Linked DNA regions of Sus scrofa. The protein of the gene in region 2 interacts with the protein of the main gene of each other region in a pairwise test. Links are inferred from orthologs where the notes say so. Each region holds a gene or a part of one and is shown on either strand. Other genes may lie near its edges.

The links.
Region 1: the proteins of C2H1orf35 (region 2) and SRRM4 interact in binary tests that used the Homo sapiens proteins (3 or more experiments, as listed by UniProt). The link is inferred for Sus scrofa from reciprocal best matches to the Homo sapiens genes C1orf35 and SRRM4.
Region 3: the proteins of C2H1orf35 (region 2) and STAC3 interact in binary tests that used the Homo sapiens proteins (3 or more experiments, as listed by UniProt). The two-hybrid records come from large-scale screens. The link is inferred for Sus scrofa from reciprocal best matches to the Homo sapiens genes C1orf35 and STAC3.

What each region holds. Positions count from the first base shown.
Region 1 is NC_010456.5:33,815,261-33,821,406, forward strand, and holds the start of SRRM4 (serine/arginine repetitive matrix protein 4), read right to left. Parts: upstream 3,600-6,146; 5' UTR 1,108-3,599; coding exon 977-1,107; intron 1-976. UniProt on the Homo sapiens protein: Splicing factor specifically required for neural cell differentiation.
Region 2 is NC_010444.4:51,237,242-51,243,378, forward strand, and holds C2H1orf35 (multiple myeloma tumor-associated protein 2), read right to left. Parts: upstream 4,085-6,137; 5' UTR 4,034-4,084; coding exon 3,940-4,033; intron 3,834-3,939; coding exon 3,683-3,833; intron 3,541-3,682; coding exon 3,495-3,540; intron 3,400-3,494; coding exon 3,320-3,399; intron 3,105-3,319; coding exon 3,032-3,104; intron 2,931-3,031; coding exon of another isoform or gene 2,866-2,930; coding exon 2,780-2,865; intron 2,187-2,779; coding exon 2,061-2,186; intron 1,976-2,060; coding exon 1,918-1,975; downstream 1-1,917. Other genes in the region: MRPL55 (mitochondrial ribosomal protein L55), read right to left, coding at 6,092-6,137.
Region 3 is NC_010447.5:22,552,732-22,558,909, forward strand, and holds the start of STAC3 (SH3 and cysteine-rich domain-containing protein 3), read right to left. Parts: upstream 3,600-6,178; 5' UTR 3,268-3,599; intron 2,379-3,267; 5' UTR 2,280-2,378; coding exon 2,214-2,279; intron 1,936-2,213; coding exon 1,668-1,935; intron 1,426-1,667; coding exon 1,328-1,425; intron 1,114-1,327; coding exon 1,041-1,113; intron 1-1,040. UniProt on the Homo sapiens protein: Required for normal excitation-contraction coupling in skeletal muscle and for normal muscle contraction in response to membrane depolarization. Required for normal Ca(2+) release from the sarcplasmic reticulum, which ultimately leads to muscle contraction.

The DNA.
Region 1 (6,146 bases), on a different chromosome or scaffold from region 2:
CCCAACCACTCATCCAACACCAGCAAAAGATGACTTTCCATACAGCCTTGATGTGCCCTGACAGAGGGCACAGCCTTCTTCCTTTCATTTTCGAGCTCCACTAAATAGAAAGCTTTGTGAAAAGAATTGGGTTTTCTTTGTCTTGGAACGCTTCTGTTTTCCCCAGCCTCCTCCCAGTTTTATCCCACATCCTCTTCTTCCTCTTTCTGCCTTTCTTTCATTTCCTCCTTTATCCTGCCCCCATCATAACATTTCCTCCACCACCTAAGGGTCGGTTCTTACGCCTGAGTTCAAAGCAACTGGATTCTTTTTGAAAAACCAGATAAAACTCTTCCAAGACCATCTTCACAATCTTGGAAGGCTCCTCCCTGACTCTCAAGCTCAGAGTCCTGGTTTTGGATGCTGGAGACGAGATAATTCAGCAGCAGCAACAGCAGCAGCCAGAAAGGCATGGAGGAGGGTGCTGTTTAGGGTGTATTTGAGGGAACAGCATATGGGCTTTTGTCAAAACAGTCAGAGCTCGCTAGTTTCTGAGCTGAGTATAGAAATGTGCCACTGTCTCTGAACAAGGCTTGAGCTAGTTTAGTTCTCATCTTCTCTTCTGGTACAACCCTCATCACCTCAAATCCACCATGCCTTCACCCTCTGCCCTCTGAGCTCTGTGATACCAAGAAAAGTTTTTTAGTCAAGTCGTCTCCCACCTGCACTGTCCACCCAGAGACAGCAAAACCTCTTACACAGCAGCTGCCAGGTCAGCTGATTGAGCGTTGCTCCCCCTAAAGACTCTCTGTCCCTTCTCACCAGCTTCTACCTCACATAAGCAATTAGTTCCCATGCTCCAGTGGGAGATACAGAGTAGTGATGGGAAAAGACCGGCGCCCTGGCCCAGCTGCCTGCATCCACCCCTCTGGACTCCGGGGCACAGGCCAGAAATGGGGACCATCCAGTCTCCCCTCATAAGCAGGAGGTCATTTACCTTGGCAGCGGCTTGCGGGCGGTGATACTGGCAACAATGATGCTCTCAGGACGCGGGGTGGCCACGGCTTTAAAGGTTCCTCGCCAGAACTTCTCAAAAAGCTGTTTCTCTCCTTGCTGAACGCTCGCCATAGCCAACCCCAAGGGCCCGGGGCTCCGGGGCGCTGTCCGAAGTGCTGAATCGTGGATTCCAAACGGGGGCACACCGGGCTCCGGTCTCTGTCCGCGTGAAACCGAAAGGGGTGGGGTGAGAGAGATCGGGGTTCAGGGCGGGGGAGGGGGCGCCTCAGCTCGGGCAGGCGGGGGAGAAAGAAGGCTTGTCCGTCGGTTCTCTTCGCCTTCTGGGTTGGCTCTGGGCTGCACTCTGAGCTTACTGAGCCTCCGCACCCCAGGAAGGGAAGGGAGGGCTGGCTTTCTCGGCAGCGCTGGAGAGAAGAGGCGACGGGGTCGTCTGTGTGTGCGTGCGCGTGTGAGCTCCGGCGCGCCCGGGTTTTGTCTCTCTCACAATGTGACGTTGGAAGAGGAGGCTGGTCGCGCGAGCTGCACTTTCCTCTCCGCCTCTCCGCCTCTCCTCCTCCTCACCAACTCCCTCCTCCTCCGACTCTGCCTCCTGCCGCCATCTGCATAACAAAAGCCCGCAGGTCTTGGGAGGAGAAAGGGCGGGGCGTGCGCCTGTCACCCGGGCCCCGCGGCTACAGAGTTGCAGCGTTGACCCCCGAGAAAAGCAATCCGGAACCCTGAACTGAACCAGCCGTGAGATCCTGCTTCCCAGCCCCCTCTCCTCCCCTACCACCGCGAGCCTTCCCCCTACCCTTTCTTGTGCGCCCTCTGGGCCCGGCCTTCTCCCTTCCCACCCCGTTCGTAAATCTCCTAGATCTTCTATAGACGGAGAGAGAAAAAAACTTAATCTGTCCGCCCAAGCCAACCTGCCCCCCCGCCACACACTTCTGGGAGGGACTGTCTATACAGCAGTAAAATGGGGGGGGGGGCTTGTTTCCTGAATTTCTCTTTGCGCCAGAGTGCTGAGAGATCCCCACCACCCAAAAGTGCCATTTGATGGACAATCCGTCAGCAATTCGGCCTCTCGCCATCTGCCGAGCCGGCCCCGCCCGCAGAGGGGTGCAGCCTTGCATCTGTGCACGCGGCTCTAAGGGACATCTCTTTTGTGCCTCACAGCCAGCCCGCCCAACGTCCCGCTGTCAACCCATCCAAAGGAAAGTGTGCCCCCGCCCCCACCCCATGCCGTCCACTCCTAGGGAACTCAGCTGCAGCCACTTTTTCTTAATACAGCTTCTCTTGGGAGAGGAGTCAGTTGTGAAAGAGAAAGCTCTTAGGGGTAGGGGTTTGAGGGGGGAAATATGAGGATTATAGGGGGATGGTTACTTTTCAGTTTCTCTCCTCTTCTACCCTCTAGCAGTCCGACCCTAATCCCAGAGGGTGGAAGTTCAGAATCATAATAAAACCTAGATGCAGAGACTTTCTTTCCTTCAGCCCCAGGGTTTTCATTAAGAAAAAGAAATGCTGGACCCCTCTGCCCATCTTTCCCTTGGAGTCCTTTACTCTCAGCAGAGTTGCTACCCCCACTCCCTAGACTGCACATTCTTGGAAGGAGGCTTTGCCAAGTCTTAAAGGCCTATGAGGGCTCTGGTTTTCAGCCCCAGCGGAAATAAACTCTTGTTTCTTGCTGATGATGAGGACGATGGGGATCCAGGGGACTAGGGCACCAATGTGAACTTCAGACATTCTTTGAAAGGGAACAGGAGGGGAATAGGAGAAACAGGGGAGGAGGCAGGCAGAGCGAACTCTGGAGTATCCAGGTATTAGCCCAGAAATGTATCTTCCTGTGGATATGCGTGCATTTGGATATTTGCGTGCCTGCTTGTTTGAGTGCCTGAGTGCGCTGCTCGCTCTGCAGTGACCCCTTCTGGTAAAAAACAAGAGATGCATTTGCTGGCTTCTTCAAGTGGGTTGTCCCAGTCGGGAGTTGGAGGTAGGGCTGGGGAGTTTGGAGATGGAGGAGAAAGTGGAGACTAGGCTCAAAAGCACCACCATCTCTCCCTCCGGCCCCAAACTCTCCCGTCTCCGATCACTCTTAGGTGCTATTTCCTATATCGAAATTAGTGTCACTTTAAATGCCTTTGAGAACTGGCTCTTTAAGTAGCCTGGGATATTTAAAACCATCCTTAGTCATGACATTTGGGGTCTAAACTGAGTCACTTGCAGGGAAGAGGTAGCTAGGATCCTACCCCCACAAGATCTATCAACCTTTCCCAGCCTGTTCCAGCTCTAAGTTCTTCGACTGTTGATAACGTTCCCATTTGCACAGATTTGCCTCTTTTGAACCTGAATAGCAGCCAGGGAAGGTGGGAGGGGAAGCTGTTCTTAACTGCACTTTAAAGGTGAGGAAGTTGAGGTGTAGGATGGTCAAGTGATTTGCCTAAGGTGATTCTACAGGGAGCAAAGGAGTCTGTACAAAGCAGTTTCTGTTTTCACTTGGGGAATGAGGGGTCTCAAGATACCAGGCACCCCAGGGTGGGCAGTGTAAAAACTGCCAGATACCAAAGGAACCACGTACTGAGAAGCACACAGGGTTGAGACTTCTTTTTCTTTTCTTGTTGTCTTATTAGGGCCGCACCTGTGGCATATGGAGGTTCCCAGGCAAGGGGTCGAATTGGAGCTGTAGCTGCCAGCCTACGGAGCCACAGCAATGCCAGATCTGTGTCTGCGACCTACACCACAGCTCAGGGCAATGCCAGATCCTTAACCCACTGAGCGAGGCCAGGGATCAAACCAGAAACCTCATGGTTCCTAGTCGGATTCGTTTCCGCTGTGCCATGACAGGAACTCCTGTTGAGACTTCTAAGTTGGGAGTCTTGGGTGATAAATTCAGGGCCTCAAAGCCAGACTGCCTGGGTTCAAATCCCAGCTCTGCCATTTCCTAAATGTGTGATCTTGGAAGATTGACTTCACTTGTCTATACCTCAGTTTCTTCAGCAGTTATACAAAGATTCTATAAAAATCAAATACCCTGGGTGTAAATAGACTTCAGGTCCGACTTCTCTGATGGGACTCAAACTCCAGTTCCTCCATCATATTATGAATACATAACCATCTTGTTCTCATTCCCTCAGGATACTGCTCTGTTTTCCAAGGTGCAGGCAGCCCACTGCTTAAACTGAGACATTTCAGTATGCTAGTAAATTAATAGGAACATGTGACACAATCGCTGCCTATTCTCTACACTATGCCAGTGACAACACCTTTCTGGATAAGACCTCGGAATCCTTCTCAACACATTCTCTAGATAGCCAGCACCGACTGGCTGGATTTGGCATTCTAATAAAAATCAGTTTGACACATCTATATGGGCAAAGAATCTGAAAAAGAATGGAGGTGTGTATATGTATAACTGAACCACTTAGTTGTACAGCAGAAATTATCCGGAGTTCCCATCGTGGCGCAGTGGTTAACGAATCCGACTAGGAACCATGAGGTTGCGGGTTTGGTCCCTGCCCTTGCTCAGTGGGTTAACGATCCAGCGTTGCCGTGAGCTGTGGTGTAGGTTGCAGACTCAGCTCGGATCCCGCGTTGCTGTGGCTCTGGTGTAGGCCGGTGGCTACAGCTCCGATTCAACCCCTAGCCTGGGAATCTCCATATGCCGCGGGAGCGGCCCAAGACCAAGAAATAGCAAAAAGACCAAAAAAAAAAAAATTATACCAATATTGTATATCAACCATACTTCAACGAAGCTTTAAAAGATGGGGGAAAAAAAGATGAAGAAAAAAATGAAAAAAAAAATCAATTTTCCAGCCATGTCTAAAGGGCTCTTCTTTACCTAATTGGCACTGTTCTTGTATTAGAAAAAGGGGAGACCAGGAAGAAGTGATTCTAGGATTTGCAAACCCAGGTAATCTAAAGCAGGAGCAAAAGAGATTCTTATACCTCCTTCTCCCTAATGATCCAAAAAACACCAGCTCAGAGAAATAGCTACCTCTCCTCCAGAGGCAGTTCAAATCCCACCTCATTGACATTACTATCTTACTGGGGTAAACCCCTTACTCTCTCTGTCCATAACTACTTTGACTGATATGGCCGATCATTATCCACCATCAAGGGACATCAGGGTTCTTAAGTCTGTACCCATTTTCAAGTGTCCAGTGAACAGTGAATGATTCAAATAATTACTGAGATAATGGGAAATATGGTAATGAGACCAATTCATCTGTCTTTGTGCCCTTACACAGGATCACGCTAAACTATTCAATTTACAAGATTCTGTATTTTTCCTATAGACTTTTGGGGAGAAAAAAAATGATTGTACTACTCAGGGCTTACTAATCCTCACTTCTTCAAAGTTCTACCTCATGTCTAACCTGAATCCCACCATCATCATTTATTGCCCATTTTTCTTCTAGAATACGCACTGCTTCAAATGTCCCTGGACTAACATGGATAAGCCAAAAGTATTCTCCTTCCTTGGTTGTAATAGGTCCCAAGAGTCTATAAGACAAACACATTCATTACTATCTCAGAGTAATAATTGCACATATCGAGTAAGTATTACTATGTCCTATGCTCTAGTCACCATTTATGCTAGACCCTTGATAAACATTATCACATTTAATCCTTGTCAACAACTCCATAAGAAAGGAACTATCACCGTCTGAATCTTGCAGATTTGGAAAACTGAGTTTCAGAACGGTAAGAGGATTCAGTATGTGCAGAGACCACATATTGGAAGCATTGGATACACACAAGGAAGAACCCAAAAACCAGAGAACATAGTAATGGAAGAATGGAAGAGAAACTGAAGAGTTGGTGATGAAGGAATATGCTTCATGCAATGAACTTAGAGGACTGCCATTATTCTGCTCAGTTTTAAAAGCCAATGATATTATATTGCTATTTCTCAAAGAGAGGTTCCTTGGAACCCTGGTGGTACTCCCCACCGGAAGGTTTTAGGTGGTATCCAGGCAGTTTAAATAACATCAGAGCGCATGGTCATACATGGTGAGAAAGTATTCCCCTTATCACTTGTTTTCCTAGCTATTTAGTCAGCTCCAGAAGTAAATCTCCATATTTTGATTTCCTGAAATTTTTTTTATTTTTTTTAATTTTTGTGGGTACAGCATATGGAAGTTCCCAGGCTAGGGGTCAAATCAGAGCTATAC
Region 2 (6,137 bases):
TCTGGCTGGAGCGGGAGCCCTGCAGTCCCCTTGCTTGCCTGCTCCGGGCTCTCTGGGGTCTCACCAGCAGGAGCATGGGTGGTCATCCTAGAGCCCCAGCCCCTTGGAGCCCCTGTCTACATGTGCTTTCACGCCCTTAGCCTGCAGGGGTCAGATTTGCCATCGAAAATGATAACCTCTACTTTTTTCTTTTGTATTTTGATAAACACTGAAGAAGCTGGAGCTGTTAAACTTTATCTTGGGGAAAACCTCAGAACTGGTTTATTTGGTGTCGTGGAACCTCTTACTGCTTTCAATACACGATTAGTAATCAACTGTTTTGTATACTTGTTTTCAGTTTTCATTTCGACAAACAAGCACTGTAATTACAGCTATTAGAATAAAATCTCTTAACTATTTCGTGGCTCTCCCATGTTTGGGTGCTCCTGATTGACAGCCTGACTCCTAAGAGGTGGGCAGGGACAGCAGCTTGGTCTTCACCTAGGGAGGCCAGCATTGCCCTGACCTGTTCCATTCCCTTTCTGTCCACTCCTTCCCATCTTCATTTCCCTGTGGCCAGGTGTGGGTATGTCCCAGTGCCCTTGTGGTGACTTCCTCATTGCCTCATTGTTGGCAGTCCAGCCCTTGGTCCCAGTCTTTGCAATGCCAGCTTCTAAGGGACAGCAGGGTCACCACATGGGGTATGCCCAAGAGGCTAGGGCCAGGGGTGGTTTATGGAGGAGGCCCTTCACCCTTCCTAAGTGCCCCCGGCCACATTCCCATGTTGCTACTACAATGATTGTGCCTGGCTAGGTGCTTTGTGCCATAGACCCCCTCCCTCTTGACCTGGAGCCCTTCTTGGCACACTGGGTGGGGCAATTGGCAGGCCAAAGCCCAGGTGTCCTTCCCCCAGGAGGCAGGCCACCTAGATAATAGTCTGACAGGTTGAAAACCAGTTGTCCGTTCTGAAGACAGAATTCCCTCATTTCTTTTAAAATCAGAAATAAGAATCTCATAATAATGACTCCAGCCTGGGTTTTGTCTTTATTCTATTGTGTCTATAAAATGTTTTCATTTTTTTCTGTGGACAGCCTGGTTGTATGCACCTCCCAGCCAGGGGGAGGGAGCCCAGTGCCTTTGCAGCAGACACATGGAGGTAGGTAGGACAGTCAGTGGTTAGGAAGTCCCTTAGTGACCTGGGGAGACAAGCATGGCCTCAGGTACAAGTCCAAGTCCACCTCTTCATGATCTAAGTGCCCAGCTCAGGTTGCCCCTCCTAGCATGCTCACCCCTCTGCAGCTGAGCCCCTTTGACCCGTGTGGCCTCCTTCTGGCCACACATGACCCAGGGCTCTTGGTCAATATGAGACTCCGAGATGCTGACCACCAAAAGGACAGTGCCCTTCCCAGTGGGATCACAGGTAGCCTTGCTAGAACCCAAGAGATCACATCTTCACACATCACTTTTTTTTTTTTTTTTTTGTCTTTTTTTTTTTTTGCTATCTCTTTGGGCCGCTCCTGCAGCATATGGAGGTTCCCAGGCTAGGGGTCGAATCCGGAGTTGTAGCCACTGGCCTAAGCCAGAGCCACAGCAACGCGGGATCCAAACCGCATCTGCAACCTACACCACAGCTCACGGCAACGCCAGATCGTTAACCCACTGAGCAAGGGCAGGGACCGAACCCGCAACCTCATGGTTCCTAGTTGGATTTGTTAACCACTGCGCCACGACGGGAACTCCCACACATCACTTTCTATTATGACATATGATAGCAACCTTCCCTTTAGTATGAAACACTTTCCACTTAAAATAAGTTTATTTACGTACAAAGAGTGAGTCAATACAAAGAAAAATAAAAGCAGCCGTAGTAGGCCACAGTTAAGCCTCTTTCGAGGCCTGGGGTGATCCCCATAGGCTAGCCCTTCAGATCTCTGGATCTCAGTTGCTGTCCTGCCGGCGCTTCCTCTTGCAACAAGGCGAGGAGTTGGGATCATGCCTAGGGAGACCGGGGGACACCTGGCTTGAGGGCCCCTGCCTGCCCAGTACTCCCCGCCTCTTTACCCCCAGGCAGCTGCACCTACTGGATGGAAGAAGGGGACAGTGAGGAATGTGACCCCCTCCCATGCTCCTTTTCTTTCTTTCTCTTCTCTTTCTTGTGTTTTTTCTTCTTTTTCTTCTCTTTCTTGCTCTTCCTGTGGCTCTCAGGGCTGCAAGGGGACACAAAGTGCCAGTGCCTCTGGGGCTTTGGAATCTAGCCAGGGATGGGGCTGCTGCAGTAGCCACTAACCATGTGTAGCCATTTCAACCTGAAGTCACTAAGGGCAACTCCTCAGTACCACCTGTAGCCAGCAACTACCACGGTCGGGGGCACAGACCCTTACTTGCATTCCAATCGTGGCAGAAAATCTGACGATCTCATGGCCCCTTTCCAACCCTCCCACTGCGATTTTCCCCACTCCCACTCCACCCTGCACTCTTGGGGCCAAATTGTGATCCCCTCCTGTGCCACTCACACCCCTCGCTGGGCAGCTAAAGCAACGGGAAGGGGAAGTGGTTCACCACCCCACCCGCCCCAGACCCCGGAAAGTGACTCATGTCTGAACATTCTCTTGGGCCCCTGATCCCACTGAGGAGTCAGGGGGCAAGTGGAACCGCCCCAGGGCTCACAACCTCCAGCGGCTCCCCCCCAAAAAAAGGCTGGAGCTAGGAATTTTACTGTCTGGTGGAGCAAACAACATGCAGAGCGAACCGAGTTCTGTGTCCTAGTAGCACGGGTAGGGTCCACTTATCCAGCCCTTACCCTGGCTCCACCTTCTCCTCTGACCGAGGCTTCCTCTTGGCCGAAGCCAGGGAGACCCCTGGCCGACTGCTCTCCACGCGGTGGTGCTGCCAAGAAAAGCCACTCTGGGGGTGTGCGGGCCTGAGAACCATCCAGAAAGCCAGTAGGGTCCCTTCGAGGGGAGACGATTTGCCCCACGGCTTTCAACAGGAAGGGACACTCATCCCCACCCCCACCCCAACATGGGATAACCAGGATGTCGGGAGGAATTACCGTGAACACCGAAAGCCCCAGTTTAGCGGCCTCTTTGTCTTCCCGTGACAGCGCCACTCGCCCTGCAGAGCCACTGCGGGGACGCGGGTGGGGACCCCCCCCCACAGTGAGACACCCTCTCCCGACAGCGAGGACCACCCCATCCCCACCCGTAGGCCTCCCTAGAGAAGTGATGAGTTCAGACGACCCATAACGGCTTCCACCTGGGCGGCTGACAGCGCCGAACCCCGGGGAATTGCACCCTCGCGATTTCTGGGGTCCCCGAGGACCACCTCCCCAGCCCCGCACCTGGAGCTGCCCAGGCCCAGGAGCCGGTCCACTCCCTTCTCGGGGTCACTTCCTTCCCGCTTACAGACTTCGACAAAGTCCTGTGGGTGGGGGGGAGTGCAAGCGCTCACCACAGCGTGGGGTCTGCCCCCCCGCCCCATCCCGCCCCCGTCCTCCAAGAGGGCCCACCTCTCACCTCCTTGCTCAGGCCCGTGGGCTGCTTCCTTACGTTCTTGTAGCCTCTGCGGGGGCCGCGCGTGAGCTTCAGAGAGTGGCGGGCCTCTCCTCGGCCCGCGCCCCCGCCCCCGCCCAGCCCCGGTCTCCGCCCTACCCCCAACCAGGAGGTAATTCCCCCCCGCCCCCAAGCTCCCGAGGCTCACTCACAACGCTGCCATAAGCGCTTCCTGCTCCGCCTGCCTCACGGCCTCCAGCTCCTGTTCCCGGCTCAACCCCGCGCCGTGCGCCCGGCCCTTGGCGTACCAGGTGAGGTCACGGCCCTTCTGCCAGCGGCCCACCGGGGCCATCAGCGAGTTGCCTGCGGGATACCGAGCGCCGAGTCCTCGGTACGGCGCTGCAGGTTGGCGTACCTCCAGCCCGAGAGACACCCCCGCCGCCACCCTGGGTCCCGGCACCCCGCTCACCCAGGTAGTTCTCCCTCTGTTTGTCAGTCTTCACATCCTCCCAGCTAAACTGATCCTGCCCACCGCGCACTCCACCCCGGCTGGAGCCGAACATGGTGCCGGCTTCCCGCTACCCAGGCCCCACCGGCCCCCGTTTCCACCCCGCGTCGCACGCAGTGACGTCATGCGCGCTTGCACCGCCCCCGCCTGCCTCTAACGCCTGCGCACTGCTGTGGCCCTGGCCAAAGTCGGAGGCTGCGGCAGATACCGCCGCATTATTGGAAGCCACTGTCGTGGGTCACAGGTAATGAAAGGGACTAGTATCCATGAGGCCATGGGTTTGATCCTTGGACCGGATCTGTGGGTTAAGGATCCGGTGTGGCCATGAGCTGCTCGCAGAACCGGCTCGGATCTGGTGTGGGTGAGGCTGTGGCTGTGGCATAGACCCGGCAGCTGCAGCTCCTGCTAGACGCCTAGCCTGGGAACTTCCGTATGCTGTGGGTCCGGCCCTAAAAAATAAATTCGAGTCACGTTGTGTGGGTGACACCCCCGAGTCATCGTTGCTAGTGTGTGCTGTTTCTGGCCCTGTGCTGGGGAGAGGGGTAGGCACTGGGGGAGACTATGTCTGAAACTGTTTCCCTACTATAGCTTCCCTACCTTATAAACCGGGAGCCACCAAGGTCAGGTTGCACCTGCACTGGCCTGTTCTCCACCCTTGGGGATACCAGCTGTGTGGCTCCCAAAAAAGTATGGAAGCACACCTCATTGCACTCATACCTCAAAGAGCACAGAAAATGCCTCAGTCACCCTCAAGGTGTTCACTGGCAGACGATCCTCATTCAACAGTTTTGGTCTTTGCTGCTCAGTATCTATAGTAAGCTAGTTGTTGGGCAAGGGTGTTCGGTTTGTCATCACTGCAGACCAGAATAGATTCAGTCATAAGAGGTCCTAATGAGCAGAGAGGAGTGCCACTCCATTGGCCAACTCCTACTGAACTGAAACCATAAGATGAATGTACTGAGGAATTTACACGGTGCCACACATGTTATCTGTATCCCTTCAGTACTGGTCCTCTCACAAGACATGGCCCTCCTGCAGGTTGCTCAGTGAGTTCATCTGATAATGGGGGGGGGGGGTGAGGTCTTTCACCTTGCTCTCCCTCACCTGCCTCACTGCTTAAGGGCGTTCTTGAGCAAAGATGAGGAGGTCAGCAGGGCCTGGAAGTGCATAGCCACACATTGCTGGGATGGATTGGGGTGGGAGGATGTCCCTGTGCAGCCGCACAGAATGGTGAGTGGACCAGAAGGGGTCAGGAGTGGGGGAGGTTCATCTCCCACAGGCTGTTGGCTCCTACCTACTGGGTCAGGCCCAGAACACCTTCCCCACCATATACTATGACTGAACTTCAGGTATATAAGAAAGAGCCTGACAGCCAAATTCCAGTCCCCACCATCTACCATGACTGGAACTCAGGTTTATGGGAAAGAGCCTGACAGCCAAATTCCTATAATCAAACCCCAGGAGCTCCAGGCCTGGGCCAGGTCAGCTGCCTTAAAAAGGCTGGAAATTGCCCCTTCAGGTTTTACAGAAAGGCAGCAGTCAATTGGAAGGCCTAACAGATTGCAGCTGCAACGCACCCCACCATCATCCCACTACCCCGGAGTTAACAAAGGAGGATGGCCCCAACCCTTGGCCCCTTTGATGCAGAGCATGACGGTAGGGCTGTGGGAACCCTGGCGAGGGGCAAAGTAGGCCAGCTATAGGCATGGGGCCGATGTCCTTGGATCCCAGACACCCTGCTCCTCTCACCCATTCTTGGAGGTCACTGTGTTCCCCCAAGAGTCCTGCTGCCCTGAGGCTGAAGGCAGTGCTAGGACCAAGGGGGCTCTAGGACCCAGAGGGGCAGACTCAGCAGTAGCTAGGCTTACCTGCAGGAAAAGGACCACCCATGACTTTGGTAATGTTGAAGGCTCACATGCCTTTGGGCCTCATCCTAAAACCATAACGTGACCTGACTTTAAGCCCTGTAGTCAGTTCAGTTGCAGAGGGACCCTCTAGGCTGAGGCACATGAAAAGGGAAGACAAGAAGGAGACAGCTTCATGAACACATGATTTAAGAAGATTCCTCTTTCCCCTTCACAGCATCTCAGGCCAGCACCTCTTCCAGGCACCATCACTTTTTGGTCCAAAACCGCTTGTACTGTTCCACATCAAAGTCA
Region 3 (6,178 bases), on a different chromosome or scaffold from region 2:
AACTCTGCTAATAAGTTGCTTAGGAGTTGGGGAATGCTCAGAATCACTAATTTTCTTTTAAGGAGAGTGGTTTAACTGCTGGCTTTTGTTCCACTGAGTGTAAGCTGGGGGACTACCACAAGTGGGTTCCTTTTTTCTACCCAAGCTCCTCACAGAGTTCAGCCTCTCCTCCAAACAAATGTTCAGCAGATTGTCAATGAACATTCTTTTTAAAGGAGTAAGGTATTTATTTTTGTTTTCTTAGGGCCACACTCATGGCATATGGAGGTTCCCAGGCTAGGGGTCAAATTGGAGCTGTAGCTACCGACCTATGCCACAGCCACAGCAACGCCAGATAAGTACAACACCACCACAGCTGCATCTACACTACAGCTCATGGCAACACTGGATCCTTAACACACCGAGCAAGGCCAGGGATTGAACCTGTGTCCTCATGGGTGATAGTCAGATTCGTTTCTGTTGAGCCACAAAGGGGAACTCCATAAGGAGAAAGGTTTTTAAATTTTTATTTTTATTTATTTTTTGGGCTATGCCTACAGCATGTGGAAATTTATGGACCAGGGATCGAACCCATGCCACAGGAGCCACTGGGGCTGCTGCAGTGATAGCCCTGGACCCTCAACCTGCTGCACCAACATGGAAGTCCACGGGTATGTTTTTTAGGGTTGCCAAATTATGAACCTACCCAGGATGCCCACAGCTCTTGGTCTGGCCCTGACTCTGGCATTATTCTGTAACAGGGATGAGGACAGTCTAGTTCGTGCTTAGAAATGATTTTGTACATGAAGAGCAGAGTTTGAGGTTAGGCGGGTGAAAGTTTCAGTTTTGGTTCTGTCTCTTCCTGAGTAGAGCCCCAGCTAAACCTTATTTCCCTCAGCTATAAAACAGAGGAATACTGACTCTGCATCCAAGATGGCCAAGATACTAGGTTGAGCGAGAACCACAGGATATAGAATCTTTCTGTTTCAGAATTTTGTTTCCACATCTGGAAACCACCTCTAGGCTTGCCCATTCCCTCAGGTCCTGTATGGGGCACTTACAGAGATCTTTGACACAAGCGTACTGCTGGTTGCTGTAGAGTGGGGAGCTATAGGCCCGACGGAAACCAGGGGGCTGTAGGATGGGATGGGAGAAAGCATTAGAGATAACAAGGTAGAGCCCCAAACCCCACCTCTCCCATGAACGTCCACCCTTTCTTGGAGTAAAAGATAGGCTGAGGAAGAAAAAGCAGGGAAATGGATGGGATGCCTTGAGGAGGGACCGGCAAGGAGGTAGCGGGCAACATGTCCCCTCCCTTCTACTTTCTTGCTCCCCAGAGCCTACTCACGATCTTGCCGAAGCATCTCTGCATCTCCACGTAGGACTGACAGTGTTCGTGGATGTTAGTTTTGCAGTTCTTACAGCGAAGCCCAAATTTGTTGTTGACTTGGGAGATGGGGAGAACATTTGCGTGAGGTTCCTGATTGCCCTTTCCCTTCCTAACACTGCTGCTACTCTAGTTCTCAGGTCCCTTTTCAGTATAGGACCTGACACTCTCCATCTCTGCAGTAGTTTCTTAAAGCTAAATCTTGCCACAGCCTATCTGATGTACAAATACTCCTCTCCTAAATCCTTTCCCCTGCCCCCTGCCTTTGGCATCACACTCTCCACTTCCCTCTGTGACTCACGCACAATCATCCGGGCGCAGACGTCACAGAACTTGGGCTTCTTGAAGAAGTGATCTTTGAATTTGTGGGGCTTATCATTGACAAGCTTGGGAGGTTCTGGGAGTGGTTCTTCTTCCTCTTCCTCCTCTTCTTCCTCTTCCTCATAGATGTAGTAGATGGGCCCACCCCCAGCTCCCACTGCCTCCCCATTGGCCTGGGGCTCTGGGGGAAGCTCCATCTCCTTTGTCCCTGTAGACTCCTTCCTAAATAACTGCTTCAGCCGCTGTAGCTGAGGGAGGGAAGGAAGGAAGGAGGGAAGGAAGGAAACCCAGTGTTAAAGGAACTGTCTTGCTTTTTAGAGTAGGTCAGGCTGAAGCTAACTAGACATTCTTCAAGCTTGGGGCAAGGGGCACACCCCAGGATTAGGGGGTCCTGGGGCCTGTAGGTGCTAGCTAGCATTTGAACAATACATGAATCGTATACAAGTGAGATCAATTCAAGCAATTTTCTTCAAGACTGCAGTGGCTTCCCAGCTCCCCATACCCCATGGTCAAGGCCCAGACTCACCCCACTTTGCCGAGTCTCTCCTGGGAAGGAGGGCTTATGGGACTCCAGCACCTCCTTTTCTGTCATCCTGCAAGAGGTTGACCTCACTATGAAATCTAATCTCTGAATGACATTCTTCCCCCCTTGTTCCTGTCCCTTGCAGTAGGGTGGTCCTTGAAGGGGAGGCTTTGGGAGAAATTTGGTTAAACAGAGATTCTTTCACAGACAGGGGCAAGGAGCAGAAAGATTCCAGAAAGGCCCAGAGAAAAGCCCAACAGACAAAAGAACTTCCCTACCAACTCCTTAAACCAATGACCATCCTTCTATCCTGATGGGCAACCCCAGAGTTTACTGCCCTGAGACAGTGCACAAGGCTGTGTGGTTTAGGCATTTTCCTACAAGCACTTTGTTTCTCTTGGGAATCTGTGGGCTTTGGTTTTTATTTATTTATTTTTGTCTTTTTCTAGGGCTGCACTCGTGGCATAGGGAGGTTCCCAGGCTAGCGGTCTAATTAGAGCTGCAGCTGCCGGCCTACACCACAGCCGCAGCAATGCCGGCTCCTTACCCCACTGAGCAAGGCCAGGGATCAAACCCGCAACCTCATGGTTCCTAGTCGGATTCGTTAACCACTGAGCCATGATGGCAACTCCAAGGGAATCTGTGGGCTTTAGAAATGTGACACACACCTTCCCAGATCCCCTTTCAAGAGGTTTAATGTGCATGTCCACAAGTGCGCATAGAGGGATGGGCTGGGGACATTTGTTCTCTCCTACCTTTCTTGAGCTCAGGGGCCCGGTGCCTAGTTCCCTAGTTCCCAGCCTGCCTCAGGCTTCAGCTATTTTAAGTTTTCAGAGTAATATGAGACTTTCCTTCCCTTACTACTCTACTCCCCTGACCCCACCCCCACCCTACCCTTCAATCCTAACTCTTGTCCTGGAGTAGCTTAATAATTTCACTCCTAAAACCCAAACTACTCACAGACAATGAGAGAAATGAAGAAGCTGAATAGACTACGGATTGGGGAAGCTGGGGTGAGAAGTCCTGGAAACGCAAAGAGGATGAAGAGGCAACTTACGTTTGGGATTCCCTAAGTCAGTCCACAGTCTGTGGAGAAAAGAGGGAGCCCCTGGGGTCTTGATGGTGGTGCTGGGGGAGGACTGGTCCTCTTCCTTGGGGGCTAAGCCCCCCCAGTACCCTCTGTACTCACACCAGCTACCCAGACGGTATTTGTAGACCTCCTAGCCTCTCGCCTTGGTGTCAGAGCTGAAATGACAGGGCTGGAGGAAAGTGGACAGCTGAGCGACACAGCTGACACAGAGAAATTGGACACGAGGAGGTCTGGGCAGGGCTGGACCCTAACTCCTCCCATCCCCCCACACTGCTGTTGCTTGGTTTTTCATCCACGGTGTGCAGTTCAGCATTGGCTAAACTCAGGAGGGGACAGTGTCCATGCTGGACACTTGCGTGGCTGATTTTAGATGACTTACAAACAGCCTTATCCATCCCCTTTCCCCCAAGGTCTCAATACCTCCCCGATTCTCCCCTCCTTGAACCTGTTTTAGGAACTAGCCTTTGACTTCTTAGCCATTGTCTTCTTGTGGTCCCTGTCTTGTTTTTATACCCTCAAGCATCGATCTAGGCTCCAACAGTAAGAAAGCTTGGAAACTGGTCAAGAAAGGATAATTTGGATTTCCAGAGCTCAGCCAAACTAGATTGCCTTTTTTTTTTTTTTTTTTTTTTGGCCGTGCTCACGGCATGCATAAATTAATTCCCGGACCAGGAATTGAACCCATGTCACAGCAGCAACCAGAGCCATAGAAGTGATAATGCCGGGTCTTTAAACCACTGAGCCACTAGGGATCTCCTAGATGGCCTTCCTGCCCATGAGCAGTGGCTGCTATCTGGTAAGGCAGTGACGACACGCAGTATTGCTTTGTTCCCTCCAGCTGCCCCCAGAGATCTTTTCCCTATTTCTCTAAAGTCTTGTCCTCAGGGTGAAAGGAATTCTAAGAGCTATTTTAAAAAGTCAGGCTGGGACTTCCACCTGAGGGTCTCTGAGGGAGTGAGGGTCCAATGATCACAGAGATGGTTTCATTAACATTGCACAGAAGGCAAGAGTTGTCACATTGGGAGTTTTTATCATCTGTAAGTAAGTCTCCTTCCTCATGGGAGCTGCAAACTCTTGGAGACAGGATGGCCAAGCCTCACATTTCCTTCATCATTCTGACTCCCTGATTCCTTCTCTTTCTGATGATGTCCTGGCATATGAACTGATGGGTCAATGAGATAGTTGGCATTCTTTTTTTTGGAGGGGGGTCTTTTTAGGGCTGCACCTTCGGCATATGGAAATTCCCAGGCTAGAGTCAAATTGGAGCTGCAGCTGCCAGCCTATACCACACCACAGTCACAGCAACGTGGGATCCGAGCCTTGTCTGTGACCTACACCACAGCTTACAGCAACACCGGATCCTTTGACTCAATGAGTGGGTCCAGGGATGGAACCTGCATCCTCAGGGACATTAGCTGGGTTCATTACTGCTGAGCCACAACAGGAACTCTGATATCTGGCATTCTTTTTTTTTTTTTTTTTTTTTTTTTTTTGTCTTTTTGCTATTTCTTGGGCCGCTCTCGCGGCATATGGAGGTTCCCAGGCTAGGGGTTGAATCGCAGCTGTAGCCACTGGCCTACACCAGAGCCACATCAACGCGGGATCCGAGCCGCGTCTGTAACCTACACCACAGCTCACAGCAACGCTGGATCGTTAACCCACTGAGCAAGGGCAGGGACTAAACCTGCAACCTCATGGTTCCTAGTCGGATTCTTTAACCACTGCGCCACGACGGGAACTCCATATCTGGCATTCTTATCTCCCAGGCAAGCAGGCTTTTCCTAGTCTGGGCTTGACATGGCTGAAAGAGGAGATACTCCCATCTTGGAGAGCGATTAGAAGGTGGTAACTCGGGGTGGGTGATATTGAAAAGGGGCTGCTGTGTGGTTCTGGTCAACGGGCTCTGTAGTGGCCCTGGTTTGACTGGCTGAACAAGGCTAGCTTTGTGAAGACAGGAGAGCTCTGTCTTGTGGGTGACTGACTTTTGCTCTTTACCTTTCTTCAGCTGCCCGGGTCAGGGACTGCTGAACACACCTGGATGGTATGGCATCTTGGCACAGCAAGTTCAATTGATACAGCTTTTATTGTAAGAAACATCCACTTCTGTTCCTGCCATGTAGAACCTAATCCTCTGGCTTTGCGATTAAAGAAAGGCCCATGTCCTCCATCCCTGAAGAATTTTCAGAAGATGAGATGGATAAATATAAGGCCAGCAACTCAACCCCATTTCAGACCTCACTCATACCCTTCTGGATTAGCTACCAGGGCAATAAATGAATATCACAGAGTTAACAGGGTAGAAGGAAACTTGGAGGTCACTTAGTCCAAGTCTCTTATATTACCGCTAAGAACTCAGAGGTCCACAGTTGAGAACACTATGCTTGATAAACCACAGTTAGTGGCAGACCCAGTCATCCATCTATTTGTAAGGAGGAGGACGGGATTCAGGGAAATCGTGTTAGGAAGACATGTGTGCCTATGCCAGAGAAAGCCATTCCAGCCCACGTCAAATCCCTCCAACAGCTGTGGGCTGTATTTACCCAGGACCTCCATCTCCCCCGCCCCCTGCCCCCCACCCCCACTAGAGCGGCAACAGAAAAACAGGGACTGATGTCCAGTGACAGATTTTTTTTTTTATATTTAAAAACAAAATCAACCTCCCCCCAAGCCCCCCCAAACAAACAAAAAAATCAGATTAAATAAAATTTACAGTGAATATACCCAGCAAACATCTGTATGTGCAATTAAATACTGTGTCTGTTACTGCGGCACAAACCTCAAACAAACAATATACAAGTGTTCTGAGGGGTGGAGGGAGGCCCAAGTTTTAACTCTGTGGGATCTGGGGAGACGAGATGGGGTGAGAGAAAGGGGAAAT